Rattus norvegicus: one gene and its partners. The protein of the gene in region 4 binds, or shares a complex with, the protein of the main gene of each other region. Links are inferred from orthologs where the notes say so. Each region holds a gene or a part of one and is shown on either strand. Other genes may lie near its edges.

The links.
Region 1: the proteins of Nfkb1 (region 4) and Txn1 are in contact, whole or in part, in an NMR structure (PDB 1MDI), measured with the Homo sapiens proteins. The link is inferred for Rattus norvegicus from reciprocal best matches to the Homo sapiens genes NFKB1 and TXN. Residues at the interface, in NP_001158884.1 of Homo sapiens: Arg56, Phe57, Arg58, Tyr59, Val60, Cys61, Glu62, Gly63, Pro64; in NP_003320.2 of Homo sapiens: Thr30, Trp31, Cys32, Pro34, Met37, Ile38, Asp58, Val59, Asp60, Asp61, Gln63, Ala66, Ser67, Val71, Lys72, Pro75, Ser90, Gly91, Ala92.
Region 2: the proteins of Nfkb1 (region 4) and Kpna4 are in contact, whole or in part, in a crystal structure (PDB 7LFC), measured with the Homo sapiens proteins. The link is inferred for Rattus norvegicus from reciprocal best matches to the Homo sapiens genes NFKB1 and KPNA4. Residues at the interface, in NP_001158884.1 of Homo sapiens: Glu357, Glu358, Val359, Gln360, Arg361, Lys362, Arg363, Gln364, Lys365, Leu366, Met367; in NP_002259.1 of Homo sapiens: Arg96, Lys97, Leu99, Ser100, Ser101, Asp102, Arg103, Pro105, Phe133, Trp137, Thr140, Asn141, Ala143, Ser144, Gly145, Thr146, Ser147, Thr150, Gln176, Trp179, Gly182, Asn183, Gly186, Asp187, Asn219, Trp222, Val225, Asn226, Arg229, His230.
Region 3: the proteins of Nfkb1 (region 4) and Nfkbia are in contact, whole or in part, in a crystal structure (PDB 1NFI), measured with the Homo sapiens proteins. The link is inferred for Rattus norvegicus from reciprocal best matches to the Homo sapiens genes NFKB1 and NFKBIA. Residues at the interface, in NP_001158884.1 of Homo sapiens: Lys251, Ile252, Val253, Arg254, Met255, Asp256, Arg257, Thr258, Ala259, Pro326, Lys345, Leu348, Tyr350, Ile353; in NP_065390.1 of Homo sapiens: Asn108, Asn109, Leu110, Gln111, Arg140, Tyr181, Pro214, Cys215, Asn216, Arg218, Tyr248, Gln249.

What each region holds. Positions count from the first base shown.
Region 1 is NC_086023.1:77,516,853-77,521,012, forward strand, and holds the start of Txn1 (thioredoxin), read right to left. Parts: upstream 2,834-4,160; coding exon 2,810-2,833; intron 1-2,809. UniProt on the Homo sapiens protein: Participates in various redox reactions through the reversible oxidation of its active center dithiol to a disulfide and catalyzes dithiol-disulfide exchange reactions.
Region 2 is NC_086020.1:155,635,121-155,638,754, forward strand, and holds the end of Kpna4 (importin subunit alpha-3), read right to left. Parts: intron 3,513-3,634; coding exon 3,418-3,512; intron 1,105-3,417; coding exon 1,006-1,104; 3' UTR 559-1,005; downstream 1-558. UniProt on the Homo sapiens protein: Functions in nuclear protein import as an adapter protein for nuclear receptor KPNB1. Binds specifically and directly to substrates containing either a simple or bipartite NLS motif.
Region 3 is NC_086024.1:78,594,214-78,598,463, reverse strand, and holds the start of Nfkbia (NF-kappa-B inhibitor alpha), read left to right. Parts: upstream 1-1,391; 5' UTR 1,392-1,510; coding exon 1,511-1,737; intron 1,738-2,246; coding exon 2,247-2,355; intron 2,356-2,686; coding exon 2,687-2,897; intron 2,898-3,167; coding exon 3,168-3,256; intron 3,257-3,349; coding exon 3,350-3,610; coding exon of another isoform or gene 3,611-3,697; exon of another isoform or gene 3,698-4,070; coding exon 4,071-4,118; 3' UTR 4,119-4,250. UniProt on the Homo sapiens protein: Inhibits the activity of dimeric NF-kappa-B/REL complexes by trapping REL (RELA/p65 and NFKB1/p50) dimers in the cytoplasm by masking their nuclear localization signals.
Region 4 is NC_086020.1:226,697,403-226,700,963, forward strand, and holds part of Nfkb1 (nuclear factor NF-kappa-B p105 subunit), read right to left. Parts: intron 2,289-3,561; coding exon 2,087-2,288; intron 1,655-2,086; coding exon 1,485-1,654; intron 1,193-1,484; coding exon 1,090-1,192; intron 1-1,089.

The DNA of each region.
Region 1 (4,160 bases), on a different chromosome or scaffold from region 4:
CACCCCTAATTAAATTAAAACGTAATGTGTTTTCATGTATACTTATTTTAATTTCTATTTATTTATTCATTTTATTTATTTATGAACATCAATGTTTTTGTCTGCATGTAATTATGTACCTGACTTGTGTGTCTGGTGCCTTCAGAGGCCAGAAGAGGGCATTATTAGATGCTTTGGAACTGGAGTTACAGATGGTTAGAAGCCACCACGAGGGTGTTGGGAATTGAACCCCACCCTTATCTTATGAAAGAACACCCAGTCCTCTTATCTGCTGAGCTATCTCTTTGGCCCTAGGTACAGTTTTTAATTTCTATCTCACATTTTTTTTTCAGTAAAAATAATCCCATGTCATTTCTGAGGACCCTACAGAATGGCTATGACAACCTTAGGAGCTGTCTAGTCAGACCGCCCTCCCCTCCCCCGCCATCTGTTGGTCCACATCTGGGTATGAACAGCACCCAAGTGTTAGGGTCAGGAGGTGGGAATGCAGTGGAGAGCAATGGAAGCCACAGTTCAAACCACCACTGGTTGTTGCAGATGAATGTCATACAAAACCTCCCTTAACGTAGCCATCAGAGGCCACACTGCCTATTCTTTATTGTAAGACACAGGGCAAAATGGTGTGGCAGGCTGCTCTGATGACACCTGGACCATGGCTGATCCTCAATAGTAAGAACTTGGTGAGATTACATGAAAAACAGGACAAGCTGCATTTCAAACACTCTCAAGGGGTCCCCCCAAAAGCTATGAGTCAAAACCAGGCAAAACTACTCAAAATACTGAAAAAGTGGCTCACAATCCTAATCTTTGGCTTCAGGGAACACGAAGTACAGAGGCAGGGATGTGCGAACTTCACCAACAAGTTTTCTTTTGCAGATGTGTAAGCTTGCCTGGAGTATTGGCTTGAAGACTATTCATACAACATTCAAAATTGCAAGTCACAATTTCTAGCTCCAGAAACCAATAACCACAGTTGGCAAGTGTCTTTGTCACTTACACCAATAACCTGGAGACAAAACACACCTGGAGTAGACTGGAGCAGATGCTACTCTCTCTCTCTTGTCTCAAATATACCCAGCCAGGGGCTGGCAAGATGGCTCAGCAGATTAAAGTGCTTGCCACCACGACCAAGGAACCGAGTTCAATACCCATGACCCACAAGGTAGAAGCGAGTCAACCCTCTCAAATTGTCCTCTGACCTCCGAAAATGGATGCCCCACCCCATACGTGAATGTGAACCAAAACAGAAAGTCCCCAACAACAACAAAACCATAATCAGCCCAAAGGACAATACAAAGTGTTCTTTGCTTTTTTTGAGACAGTCCAGTCTCTTGAGTGCTAGTGACTAGAGACATGGCCAACACCCTGGTCTAACATGTGTTCTGTGAAGCACTCAGCAAAGTGCCTTGTGTGTAGTTCAACAAATAGTTTTATTCATAAAAATAAATAAACAAGGCAAACATCTGCTGATTTCTGCTCCATTATATCATAGCCTATTATTCCACTCCTGTGTGGTGACAGACCCCAAGGGCCTTTAACTACCCACACAGTCCTCAGAAACACGGCTATTCTGCATGGCTAAATCAATCAACCTAAGCCCATCAGATGAAATTCATGTGTATTCAGTTAACTTCTGACTCTGGGGCAACTCTTAAAGTCTTGGTAATAGCTTTTTGGAGCCCAAGCTTTTTATGAATAACTGGTTTCCTGTCACCAATGTACACACACCTCTCCTACTGGAATGGCAAAGGTTTCATAAGTAGGGCAGTTTAAACAGATAAGGACCCAACTGGCTGCTGGGACTAATACAACTGGTAGTGGGTGGCTTCTGAGCAAACTTCTGTACTGAGACCCAACCAGATGCTCAAAACTGGAGGGCGCTGACTTGCCTTCCACGGACTTCCTAGTTTAAGGTTGAACTTGTGAGACAGTCTTCCACACATCAATTCCCACCCCCAATCCCCTTTCACTTTCCATTTAATAAATACTGCCCGAGTAGTTACAGTGTAACAGGCTCTGGGTTTCCCAATCTGGAGGATATTTTGGTTCTCAGTAACTTTCGAATATGGTAACAGTTTTTCCCTTGGGTATTTTTTTTCTTTTCCCAAAGGGCAGAACCACCAGGACTTTGTACTGGACTACTGCCAGGGGAAGAAGAGCCCTGGTTCCAGCAAAGCTTACGGGAGGGTCAATCACCGAATTCTTAAGGCTGCGAGGCCCCTGGGCCCAGCCATAGGGGACTGAGTCATTCCAAAGCCAGAGCTGCCGGAAACACGCCTTGCGCCGCAGGAGGAGGAGTCTCTCGGGCGCGGCCTGGACCTTTTTCCCTAGCAGTCACCTAGGTACCCCGTCCGATGGTTTCTAACTGGGACCCGGGACCCACACCCATACACCGACCCGGCCAGCGTCCTCTAGGCGGCGGGCCACTGATAGAGGAAAACTATGGCCGAGCCCTGAGGTACAGCACACCCGCGCGGTGTATAGCACCCCGTACGCGAGGAGTGGCGACTCTCCATCTTCTCCCAGACCCGAATCCTGATTCAGTTGGGGCATAGGGCGAGCTGTCACTGGAGGACCCCCGTCCATCACTTCACCTCCGCCAGATTTAGGGTGGCAGTAGGGAGTGCAGCTCAGGTGCTGCCTAAGCGTGCACCTTCGGTACCAGGCGTTCCAGGGTCTCTCTGTCCCCTCCCCCAGGGCGTGCTCCACAGCCCAGAGCGCACACAGGCCCTGGGCCGCTCAGCCGGCAGGGATACCGAGGGTGTCTACTGAGCACCGCGGGGTGAGCGCGGGGCCGGGGCACGCATACCTTGCTCTCGATCAGCTTCACCATTTTGGCTGTTGCGGGGAGGGAGCCACACGAGTTTCGGCAGAACCCGATGGAAATGGATCCTAGGCACCCAACGGAGCTTGCAGCCGAGTGCGGCGCCCGCCTTCTCTTTATAGAGACAGGGCGGAGCGCGGCGGGGCGGGGCGGACGGGCACGCGCGGCGGGGACGAGCTCCCTCGCCTCCCGCGCCCGCCAAGGCGCCCCGGCAGGCCGCGCCCAGACCACGCCCCCAAAAGGTGGGGCGGTTTCCAAGGGGCGGGGCCAGAACAGGCCACTTGAGCAGCTCAGGGACTGTCCTAGTGCTGGCCTCGCTCCTGGCTGCCGTGCTCTAAGCCGCGGAACCAGAACCTTGGTTTCCAGGGGCGGAGCTAGCGCAGGCGCCTGAAGCAGCTTCGGGCTCTTCAGGCTCCAGACGCTGTCCTGCTCTCACCCCTTGGAAACCGTGTGTCCAGCTGCCCCAAGGACACTTTCACTGCGCACGGTGCCCGGAGGTAGATCGCGGCTCCCTTTCACACAGTAGAGCCCCTCTGGAATCACGTTGACCATGCCCCAAACAAATCTAAGTCAGATACTTCCAGACTGGGGCTGGGGACAACCCTAGGACTGCCCAGGCAGAGGTGTATCTTTCGACTAGGGCGGCCATGCTGCGGTTTGCCTCAAAGTGCTGAGTAACGATGACCAGGAAGTATCTCAGTGAGCGCCCTCGCTAACTTTCTGGGTAGTTCTTTGCCACTTCTTTCGCCTCTCCTTCATATTTCTTAACTTTAACAAGTGAACCTGCTACCGGAGAGGCACAGAGCCGTTTAGAGCCCCTGTTTTGTGCCCCATGCATATGCAGGCATGATAGAGATCGGATCGTCCAGCTCCCAGCGTTGTCTTGAAGGATTTAAAGAGCTTGAAAATGGACCAGGACAGCGCTTGGCCCATAAGGAAGCACTCAATAAATTATTGTAATTATAGTCATCGTGAGCGCTAATTAAGCTTGCGTGGTGCCGTGTGGGGCCTTGCTGAATTTGCCTGCCTTGTATTTACAATGACAGTATATAAGCATTGAGAATTTTCTGCCTGGGAGACCCCAGGAAGCGTGTTTGTCAATGATTACTGGGGTGGTGTGCAGGAGGACGGGGCAGCGTGGTGGAAGCTAAGACACGGTTAAGGTGTCTTTGTGCAGCCTGGAGTGCCCCTCTGCTGAAGAAGCTGAGGTGGAGACTGGCCAGAGCCAGCATGCTGGGAGGAACTTGCCTAGCCTGAGTTTGTGGAGCAGAGCTAACCTAGCTAAATCTGCATCCGGAGATGAGGTACTGGAGATGCTGAAATTGTTTTCCAGCCA
Region 2 (3,634 bases), about 71 Mb from region 4:
AAGCACATTTTATACTATTATGGCAACTTGTGTACTGCAACACAGTCTATTGTGAGGGAAATTTATGATTTTTTTTCATGCAAAAATCTACACAAATTAGTTTTGATGATATGGAAAGCTTTTCATAGCATCAAACACTCATCTGGTGCAAATGCACAGGGAAACCTTCCTGAAGTTTTCTGACTTGAGAAGCAACTAAAAAAGCCATACTAGGTAAAGTAAATAAAAACTAAATAAAAAAAGGGTTGGGGTCGGGTGGGGTGGGGTGGGGTGGGGTGGGGGTAAGGTAGAGGGAGAATAGACAACACAGGCTGCAGAGTAAACCAGTGTCTGCTGCTAAACCGGTCTTTGTTCTCATGTCCAGTGTACATTAACACTTGGGATCTCACTTTGATGATCTACTAGGTTTGTTATCAGCCCCCTGAAGGCAAATCAAGCTTGCATGCGTCCACATACAGCACCACAACCATACTCTCTTACACAGTCACTCCAGGACTAGGAGTCTGCTTCATGCGTGAAGAGCCCTAGATTTGAAAGATGAACCTGGCTCTTTCTCTACCACGGAGCCAGACATTCATTCAACACTGTTCATTCATACACTGCTTCACAGCGAGGCCTGGGCTCATTTTCCTTGACTTATATGGGCATCGCTTTTATGCTTACAAGGCTTGATGATGATGGCATTTCACTTCTCAATTGATAGAGTAAGTCAATGCTCCGTCTCAGGCACCGAAGTGACCTGTAGCCCTTTACTCTCAACCTAAATAAGCATTTGTGTCACGCTTTCCTTACATTGCCACTCATTCTCACTCGCACCCACTCGCCACCTTGACTCATTTGGGCATTTTCTGTGATTCCAAATGAAATCTTCACATTTTCTCTCCCGATTTAATGCAGCAGCAGATCCCATGAGCCAAGCTTGATGGATCAAACCTTTTTATATATATGTGTATATATATATATATTTCTCGGTGCTGCATTGTACCTAACTTCCACAACATCTCTCTAAAACTGGAACCCCTCTGTTGGTACATTGGTAGATGAATTGAAACCAAATGTTCCACCTTGAACTGACTCTGGAACAAGGCTAGGATCTTCATCAATCTGAAGGAAAAGAGGAAAAAACAATGAGATGATTAGTCTTAAAGTATAAAAAACCTGAATCACAGTAATAGTCCCATTATTCTCTAAAAAGATAGACCACATCTAAGTGATGAGTGTCTGCCAAGAATGTACTACCATCCTAACACCTGTAAACTCCTTCCTTAAGGGCTGTGAAGAAACAAGAATATACATGATGGACACCTTATGAAATAGAACACTGGAGCCGGCCTCAGACTCTAAATGCGAGGGTAAATACTGGTACTCACTGTAACTCCTCTTATATCTAAGACAGTGTAAGGAAGTATACTCTCTTATACTTGGGAGGCGTGGTGGCACATGCACTGACCTCGGCACTTGGGAAGGGAAAGCGAAGAACTACCTGTGAGTTTCATCTACACGGGGAGTTCTAGGTCATCCAGTGATACACAATATAAGAACCTGCCTCAAAAAGCACAACCCGAATCTTCAAACAAACAAACATGTATTAGCAGGAGTAAATGCACTCTTTATACTTTTAGAACTGTGTAACTCTGCTATTCCTAACTACAACTTAGGACTTCCAAATTGAATATTTGGGTGGTGGTGGCACAGGCCTTTAATCCCAGTATTTGGGAGGCAGTGGCAAGTGGATCTCTGTGAATTGGAGGACAGCCTGGTCTACAAGCACAAGTTACAGGACAGCGAGAACTGTTATACAAAGAAACCCAGTCTTGAAAAACAAAAACAAAACAAACAAAAGGGGACATGATTAAGACCATCTTTCCTTGAGAGTATGTTTTGTCTGGATCTTATTTATGATGTATTTAACTGCATATTTAAATAAGATTTGTGTCGACATCCTTTTTCTATTTGTTTGGGTTTTAGAAACCAGTGGGTCCACCACAAGAGTAGTAAGTGCTCTTAACTGCCGAGTGAACTCTCCAGGCTGGTTTTCTCTATTTGCTTGGTTGCATCCATCCATCCATCCATCCATCCATCCATCCATCCATCCATCCACCCACCCACCCACCCACCATCTATCATGTGGGGGCATATGCCACATGGGATACATGTGGAGGTCAGGGGACAACTTGGGAGAGTTGGGGTGCTCTCCTTCCATCACATAGGATGGTTCTGGGTACTGAATTTAGATTGTCAGCCTTTACTCTATGAGTCCCCTTGTTAGTCCTATGGTCTAATAGCCTATGATTTTCTTTTTCTAATGCTTTATTCTTTTTAGTAATGTGGAAATGTGTTATGAAACTAGAGTTCTTAAAAATTTTGGTTATTTACATGGGCATTTTGCCTGCATGTATGTCTGTGAATCACAGGGGTAGCTGGTACTCAGGAAAGCAAGAAGGCGGCTTTGGATTCCCTGGAATTAGAGCTACAGATGGTTGTGAGCCACCAAGTAGGAGCTGGTAATTGACCCTGGGTTCTCTGGAAGAGAAGCCGGGCCTCTTAACATCTTCCTCCCAGTGCATTTCTCCAGCCCTGAAACTTGTATCTTGAAAAGTTGAAAACATAATTCATATAGAGTGTAGTGGTGTGTGCCTTACACCCAAAAGGAGCACTTGGAAGGCTAGATAGGAAGACTGCTCCAAGTTCAAAGGACAGTCAGGCATATACAGCAAAACATTTTTTAATAAAACCCAACCAAATAAACAATCCTTTACTTACAATTGTTATTTGGTGGTACTATGAATAAATGTAACTTTGTAACATTCCACATCATATTGTATATACCGTTCATTTTCATGATTTACTGTGCTCATCTTGTTTCGTCATCTTATTTGATTTTAACCACCAACAAAATTACACTTGAACATATGGATTAAGGGGTTACTGTAGGTTATACTAGTACTACTAGTTTTGTTTGCTTGACTTTTGATTTCTTTTTTGAGGCAGAGTTTCACATAGTCCAGGCTGGCCTTGAAATCACTACATAGCCAAGAACACCCTTCAATTCATTTCCTAGTCTTTCTTCTGCATTAGCTCTGAAGTGGTGGAATTATAGTTGAGTGCCATTATGCTTGGTATCACTATTTTCTGTTTCGTTTATAGACATACTATTACCAATTTAAATGCGTGAGAACTGGAAAGAAATCAGCTTATCCAGTGCAACAAAAATTCTTATTGTTTTGTTCTTGAGTTAATGTCCTAACCAGATTTAAAAATACTAAAATTTGTTTTCAAAGACAGTAATATTATTGTCACATACCTATTAAGACTTCTATTGAAAAAATTTTTATATATACATCCTAGTTTACTATATTCTTTCATTCAGATTTGCTTAGCATATAAAACTAAGAAAATGATAAACATATTAAGTACATCATCTGAAGAGAAGAACTGGTCAATGATCTCATAGGCCAATTTGTAGATGTCCTCATTTTCATGATTCTGAAGTTGTTCAATTTTCTCCAGTCCTGCAAGAAATTTTATGAAGTGAACAATAGCAATTAATGTGTTGCTAGAAGTTACAGTAACTTTGAAACACATAATGCAATCTCTGTACTATAAAATTTCTGGGTTATCGTCTTTAGGGGTC
Region 3 (4,250 bases), on a different chromosome or scaffold from region 4:
TTGCAGAGATGATGAAGAGGATTTGCTGAGGAAGTCTTAACTTTAACGTGACGTTGTTGTCTGGAAGTTTTTGTTTTTTCCTGGACTTTGAATCTTTTCCCCCAGTGTCCTCACTTTCATACTGTGGGGGAGGCAGTGGAATTACGAAGAGAGGAGAGTTGCTACAAGGCTCAACAAGAAAAAGATCACTCAAATTTCACCAGAAATCTATGCAGAACAGGAAGCCTACTGGGTCTATTCTGACAAACTGTGATCCAAGTTGCTTTAATTTTCCCGAGTTACCTCACACTTGCAGGCTCCTAAGTCGGGATGGGGTGGAAGCAACACTTCTACTTTTGCAGGTAAAACTAGGGGATCACAGGCCCAAATCCCTTTCTTGAGGAGTAGCCACCCACAATGCTGCGGTCCCTGGGAAGCAAGGAAGCTAGTAGAACCAGCAGGTTTCAGATGTGGTCAGTGTTAGGACTATGTTGAGCCTCCTGCAGGATGCTTCAAAGTTACTTTCTTAGCTATGTTTAAGAGGCTAGGGCACTAAACCAGTTGTTCTGCTAGGCATTCACAATAAGCTCCGGCTTTATTCTCTACAAGTTAACAAGTTAACTCCAACAGCAAGAACTCAACAGTTTCTGTTGCATGGAAGCTACAACTTCTACAAAGATTAACACCTTGCATTACTTGGGGGAAAATGTGGTTCCCATATGGAGCTAGACTTTGCCCCTCCCCCGCTGCCCCTCCCCCGGGCGAGATTATTGACCCCTCGGAATTAATCTAGGGGTTCTCCAGGCGCTTGGATTTTGTTGTTGTTGTTATTGGTTTTGTTTGTTTGAATGCCAAAGTGTCTACAGCTTCGAGGGGGGATGGTGAAGGGCAGCCAAATGTCCATGCACTGCAAAGAGCCTGAAACACAGACGACCCGGAATCACTCATACGTCCGTCGTCGCAGAAATTTAGGAGAAGCGAATCCCTGCACCCAGCCAGCCATTTCCACTCTTGGGTTTTCAAAAGATCAAGAACCGGAAAGGACCTGCAAATTGGCAAATCTCTAAGAGGAACAGCCTAGCAGGTTTGCGTCCTTGGAATCTCAGCAGCTTGGGACCCCAAACCAAAGTCGTCGGTGGGAAACCCCAGGGAAAGAAGGGCTCTTGTAGAACGCTGGGGTTACTGAGTGCAGGCTGCAGGGAAGTACCTAGAGGGAGGGGGCCTGGTCGGGAGGACTTTCCAGCCACTCAGGGCTCATCAAAAAGTTCCCTGTACATGACCCCAGTGGCTCATCGTAGGGAGTTTCTCTGATGAACCCCGGCCCTGGGTTTAGGCTTCTCAGTCGAGGACGAGCCAGTTCTTTTTCTAGTCTGACTGGCTTGGAAATTCCCCGCGCCTGACCCCGCCCCTGAGAAATCCCCTGCCAGCGTTTATAGGGCGCCGAGGCGGCGCTGCCGAGCCCACAACAGTCTGAACTCGCCACCCAACTGCCAGCAGCCTGCACCCTGCACCCGCTCAGCTCCGCACAGCCATGTTTCAGCCAGCTGGGCACGGCCAGGACTGGGCCATGGAGGGCCCGCGGGACGGCCTCAAGAAGGAGCGGTTGGTGGACGACCGCCACGACAGCGGCTTGGACTCCATGAAGGACGAGGATTACGAGCAGATGGTGAAGGAGCTGCGGGAGATCCGCCTGCAGCCGCAGGAGGCGCCTCTGGCTGCCGAGCCCTGGAAGCAACAGCTCACGGAGGACGGAGACTCGTAAGTGGCGGCGGGCTCGGGCATGGGCACGGGCGGGGTCGCGCGGGGCCTGCACCGCGCTCGGGGCTCTGCACGGCGGGGCTGCGGGGCTACGGGGCTACAGAGCTGCGGGCGCCGGGCCGCCTGCCTCCCCATCCCCCCACCCCATTTCCCGGGACCCGGAGTAGCCGAGCGCAGGCCGGGGGCGGGGCGGCAACGAGGACGCAAAGTCCCCGCCTGGCAGAGTTTCCGCGCAGCCGCCGGGCGCTGCGCGGCCGCGAGGGGAAGTACAGGGCGTTCCGGGCGGCGGAGGGCGGGCCGGTCTGGCCGGCGCCCGCCCGGAGGGGGTGGGGCACGGAAAGTCCCTGGGCGGCTGCCAGGAACACTCAGCTCATAATAACCTCGCGGAAAACACCGCGGCCGCGGCCTCCAGAAACCCCGGCCTTGCGCAATCCCCCGCAGCCCGCGCCTCTCGGGGGCCCCACGCAGTGCGCTCACCACCCCTGGGGGGTTTCCCTGTCATCCCGCAGGTTCCTGCACTTGGCAATCATCCATGAAGAGAAGACACTGACCATGGAAGTGATTGGTCAGGTGAAGGGAGACCTGGCCTTCCTCAACTTCCAGAACAACCTGCAGCAGGTGCGGGCTTGCCCAGCTGTGCCCTCTTTGACCCCGTGGTGGAGTTAGATGAAGCTCAGTCGCCCCCAAAGCGTTTCTAAATTAACAGTCACGGTCCTTATCTGCCCTGGCCTTTTACATTCAAATTAGCCAAAGTCTTAGAGCAAGAAGGAAAATCCCAAGGGTTGGTTGAGGTCTTTATGACCCACGTAGGGCCTCCTGTTTGCCTGATCTCCTGTAGACAAATGGGAGGAGGGGATTCTGTAATAGGAGGTGTCTGGGGTTCAGGAAACTCAAGACTATGGGTTTGCTCCATGGCTTAGGCTCTTTCTGTTTCCTCTTCCATTCGTAGACTCCACTCCACTTGGCTGTGATCACCAACCAGCCAGGAATTGCTGAGGCACTTCTGAAAGCTGGCTGTGATCCTGAGCTCCGAGACTTTCGAGGAAATACCCCTCTCCATCTTGCCTGTGAGCAGGGCTGCCTGGCCAGTGTAGCAGTCTTGACTCAGACCTGTACGCCCCAGCATCTCCACTCCGTCCTGCAGGCCACCAACTACAACGGTAGGTCTGCCAGTCCATCCAGGGACGCAGAGAAGGGAGAGACGGGTCCCCTTGAGTCTAGCCTGGAGCTAAAACGCCTCAACGTATAAGAAGTTCAGGCAGTGTGGACTTTTAAAAAGTCTTCTCCATGATTCCTACATGACGTTCACTGAGAACCCAGACTTTTGAGTTCTTCAAAATTGAGGTTGTTTGTGGTTGTCCCCAAGAAAGGAGACGTGACTTGTGTGAGGATTGAAACAAGTGGTTACAGTTCCGTCTTATATCCTGCAGGCCACACGTGTCTACACTTAGCCTCTATCCATGGCTACCTGGGCATCGTGGAGCACTTGGTGACTTTGGGTGCTGATGTCAACGCTCAGGTGAGTACTTCCCCTTCCTCCTAAACTCTGCTGGGCTGGCTCTTACTGTGAGCAGATTTCCAGATAAACACTTCTGATTGCCTTTGGTTTCAGGAGCCCTGTAATGGCCGGACAGCCCTCCACCTTGCAGTGGACCTGCAGAATCCTGACCTGGTCTCGCTCCTGTTGAAGTGTGGGGCTGATGTCAACAGAGTAACCTACCAGGGCTACTCCCCCTACCAGCTTACGTGGGGCCGCCCAAGTACCCGGATACAGCAGCAGCTGGGCCAGCTGACCCTGGAAAATCTTCAGACGCTGCCCGAGAGTGAGGATGAGGAGAGCTATGACACGGAGTCAGAATTCACGGAAGATGAGGTGCGTGTTCATTACTGCCAGAGTGGTCCATTCTCCCTCACCACACCTAGGTCTGTTCTAGAGCTGTTCTGTATCATAGGGACCTGAGTTATTCAACTTCTCAGTCTCAGCTTGCAAAGCCAGGATCCCAAGAACGTGTCTCTGGTTTGCTTTAATAGCTTACCCTTGTGGGTTTCGGAATGGGGCAGTAAGAGGGAGTTGTGGGAATTGAACCCAGGCTTTAACACGTGGTAATAGGCACATGTTCTACCATTGAGCTATGTCCCCTGCAATAGCTTAGACTTTTGAAAGGAGAGAATTGGTGAAGGGAACTCCTGCAGCCCGGCGCCTGCGTTCTGTTTAGGCTGAGGAGGAGAGAGTCCAGGAATGGGAGTTATTTGTAGAAGCAGCTCTCCCGCCATCCCAATGGCTTGGCGAAGTTCTAGGAATCTAATGTGCCTTTTTCCCTCTCTTGTTCCAGTTGCCCTACGATGACTGTGTGTTTGGAGGCCAGCGTCTGACGTTATAAGAGGAAAGTGGCCAAAGGAACGTGGACTTGTATATTTGTACAAATAGAGTTTTATTTTTCTAAAAAAAAAAAAGAAAAAGAAAAAAAAATAAGAAAGGGTATACTTAGCACCACAGCACACAGCGCCTAGCC
Region 4 (3,561 bases):
CGAGTAAAACTGCTGCCATTCTATTCATGCATTTACTGTTGAGACAGGACCTCCCTAGGCATCTTGGTTTGGCCTGGAACTATGTAGACCAAGGTAACCTAAGCTTGTGGCAATTCTCCTGCCTCAGCTTTCTAAAAGTTGAGATTTCAGGTGTACGTCACTATGTCTGACTAAGAGACAACATTTTTTTTTTCTCTTCAGCATAGTAAGTGATTTCCAAAATGACTCACGCACAACACAACCAGGGCCTCTTTGCCTGAATCTGTGAAGAGTGTGTCGTCCACAAATCTTCCCTTATCAACCTCTGAGGTAAGTCAGGTTATGTCTGGACAGGCCCGGAATGCCAATCTCACCCACCATGTGTTAACACTAAACACACTAGGCACTGGAGACAGGAGCTGAGCTGCAATGTCTCCCTGTGCTTTACAGGACTAGGGAGCTAACCAGAAGAACCCAAGAACCCCAGGCCAACTGAGAGGAACACTGTGTGGAGGATAAGTCTGCAGGTTGGGCTGTGGCGCTGTGACTCACAGCTCTCTGAGACACTGGGAGTGGGGCTTGATCACCTCTCCAGTCTGCCTACTTGGATCTAAGATAGGAATAGCAACATGTCTTGTCTCAGAGTTACTGAGGATTACGTGTGCTAAAGGAGGCTGCATGTGAGATGTCAACACGGTGCCTGGAACACAGGAAAGGCCTCATGCACAATAATACGAATACATGGCCCGTTTGCTTTTCCTACGACTTTGGCTTCTAGGAGACTCTTTTTGCAAAAGGAAGTCTTTAGATATGTTCCTTCTGGGAGACTTGTAATAGGACCAGAAACTGACAGAGCTTAAGATTTTATAGTCACTGAGTCAACCTGAACAACCCGACATAGACAGCTAACCAGGGGGAGGAAACTAACACAGGTGTCAACCCCAGGTTATCAGGCCACACTGAGCCTCACTGCAGCTGAAGTGTGACCAGCCATGCGGTTTTCATTTACCCAGGCTTCCCCAGAGCAGAAGTGCAGCTTCCAAAGGCAGCATTGCACTTGCAGGCAGAGTTTGCTTTGCTGATGTCCATCAGTGACCAGCAGCATCTTACCTGCTGCTTTGAGAAGAGCTGCCAGCCTGGTGGACCCTCTTCCAGCTGCTATGTGTAGAGGTGTCGTCCCATCGTAGGTGGTGCTGTCCACGAGGGCGTCACCCTAAACCCACCCACAAAGAGAGAGTTAGCAGAAGGCTCATTTGTCTACCTCCATATCTCCATGGATCCTCAGGTTATATTGTTAGCCCAATTGCTAGACTGAGCTGGCTCTGTCACTGGAGAAGTCCCCCAGTTAGGGAGCTGGGCTGGAGGTGGGGACGCAGGAAGTGGCCTCTCTGAGCACCAGCAGATGCCAGGCAGAGCTGAATGCTGACAGCACAGCTGGTCCTAGCGTCACTCTTTGCAAAGTTCCTTGAGGGCGTTTAGTTCAAGATCACAAGGGCGTCCTTTACCTCCAGGAGCAGGCAGCCGGCCAACGAGATGTTGTCGTACTCCACGGCCAGGTGCAGTGCCGTGCGCCCAGACTTCTGCTCCTGAGCGTTGACTTCTGCCCCAGCAGCCACAAGCAGCTGCAGACATGACAGGCTGTTGCTCATCACAGCTATGTGAATGGCATTCAGACCTAAGGCCAAGCAAAGGCAGAGATGTGGGCAAGGTTGCCAGAGCTGGGCTGTGGGGAGGAGGGACACCGCCAGGTCACGGCACTTCCGGTTTTTGTTCAGGGCTTGCTTCAAAGGCTCAGAAGGTCCACTGTTCTGTTTTTAGAAGCCACGAGCTCCTATTGTGCTCACGGGAGACAATGAGCTACCAAATAAACATTCTCCACATATGTGATGCTTTCTGTAAGACTAGTGTTTGCCCAGGCCTGCTTTCCCACTTACTAAGTAACTTTCCCGAGTCATCTTTAAGGGTAAACAGCAGAAATAACCACGACATCTGAGGAACTCCGGCTGGCAGAGGGGAGTATGGTGAAAGTCAGATACATTTACCAAATGCCAAGCTCTTCTGCAGCAGCCGGCAGGGGAAGGTTAGCCAGCAGCGTGACTGCCCTTACCTTCCCCGTTGGGGTGGTTGATAAGGAGTGCTGCCTTGCTGTTCTTGAGTAGGACCCCGAGGATTTTATCATGTCCTTCTTTGGCAGCTAGGTGCAGGACAGAGTTGCCCCAGCGGTCCAGAAGACTCAGGTCAGCCCCAACCCTCAGCAAGTCCTCCACCACATCTTCCTGCTTGGTGATCACGGCCAAGTGCAAAGGTGTCTACATAGAGAAGGAGCAGGAGAGCCGTTGGTTATGAACATCTGTAACCCCTGGCTTCAGAACTATGCCATGGAGTCACGCTGCAGGGACATCTGTCATTCAAGGGGCTTTCTGTTCCACATGCCAGGCTCAAAGGCCCAAGAAGGGCACCAGCATCCAACAGTCAGGGTTATAGAATAAACTTAAAATGCTTAGTAGTTTTACTAAATGATTTTTTAAGCCATGTAGAAGTAAAATTAAGCTTTTTTGAATTTCTGATAGGAATCTATACCTGGTAATTCTACACATTGTCAAATCCAACCAATGCTGTGTTTTTTTTTTTCTTTAAGATTCATTTATTTATTATATATAAGTACATTATCGCTGTCCTCAGACACACCAGAAGAGGGCACCAGATCCCATTACAGATGGTTGTGAGCCACCGTGTGGTTGCTGGGATTTGAACTCAGGACCTCTGGAAGAGCAGTCAGTGCTCTTAACCACTGAGCCATCTTTGCAGCCCCCAATGCTGTGGTTTTAACAAGGAAATGTAAATACACTATTAAAAGAAAGCAATCAAGAAAGGGGCCGTCCTTCACAATAGTATGGAAATACACATGCTAAACCAGAACACGGTGCTACAGGCTGGCTTCAAGAGAGCCACAGTTACAAGCGATACTGCCGTGCTACCAAAGGTATTGCCGGGTTCTCCTTGGCACAGCCACCCAATACAACACTCGCCCCAAGAAAGCTCAGGCGGAAAACAACCCCAGCTACTGTGCATAAAAGGCACAGGAAAGTCTTTCTGACTACCCTGACTACAAAGTTGTGCTTCCGTGGGTGTAAGGAGGATGCATGGAAAACTGTTTTCAGAAACGAGCAAGGTCAACACAATCATGAAAGTGTCCGTCAAAGAACTGAGGTCACTGATGGAGAGTGACACCTTTCAGTGTCAGCCAGTCTGTCTCGCTGGAGCTTTACAGTGAACTCCAGGCTGCGTAGTGAGGACTCCCATTCAGGGAATAATTAGTTCCCGCTGGAGAGGCAGCGGCAGGTGGGCCACCAACACAAATCACCACGGTGATACTTTAGGTGTCTAGATCTTAACCCCTAGGATTGTATCTTAAACTCGTATAAAATGTGTGTCTCAAGATATCCCTAGAATCGATCTGTGGAGCTCAGTGTTCAAACTGTCCTAGTAACCCGCTTCTGTCACAGATGGACAGGTAGGCATGGTGCAGGTGCTTACTGCAGCATTCTCCTCAGAAGCAATGAGAACAAACAAGCTGTCCAT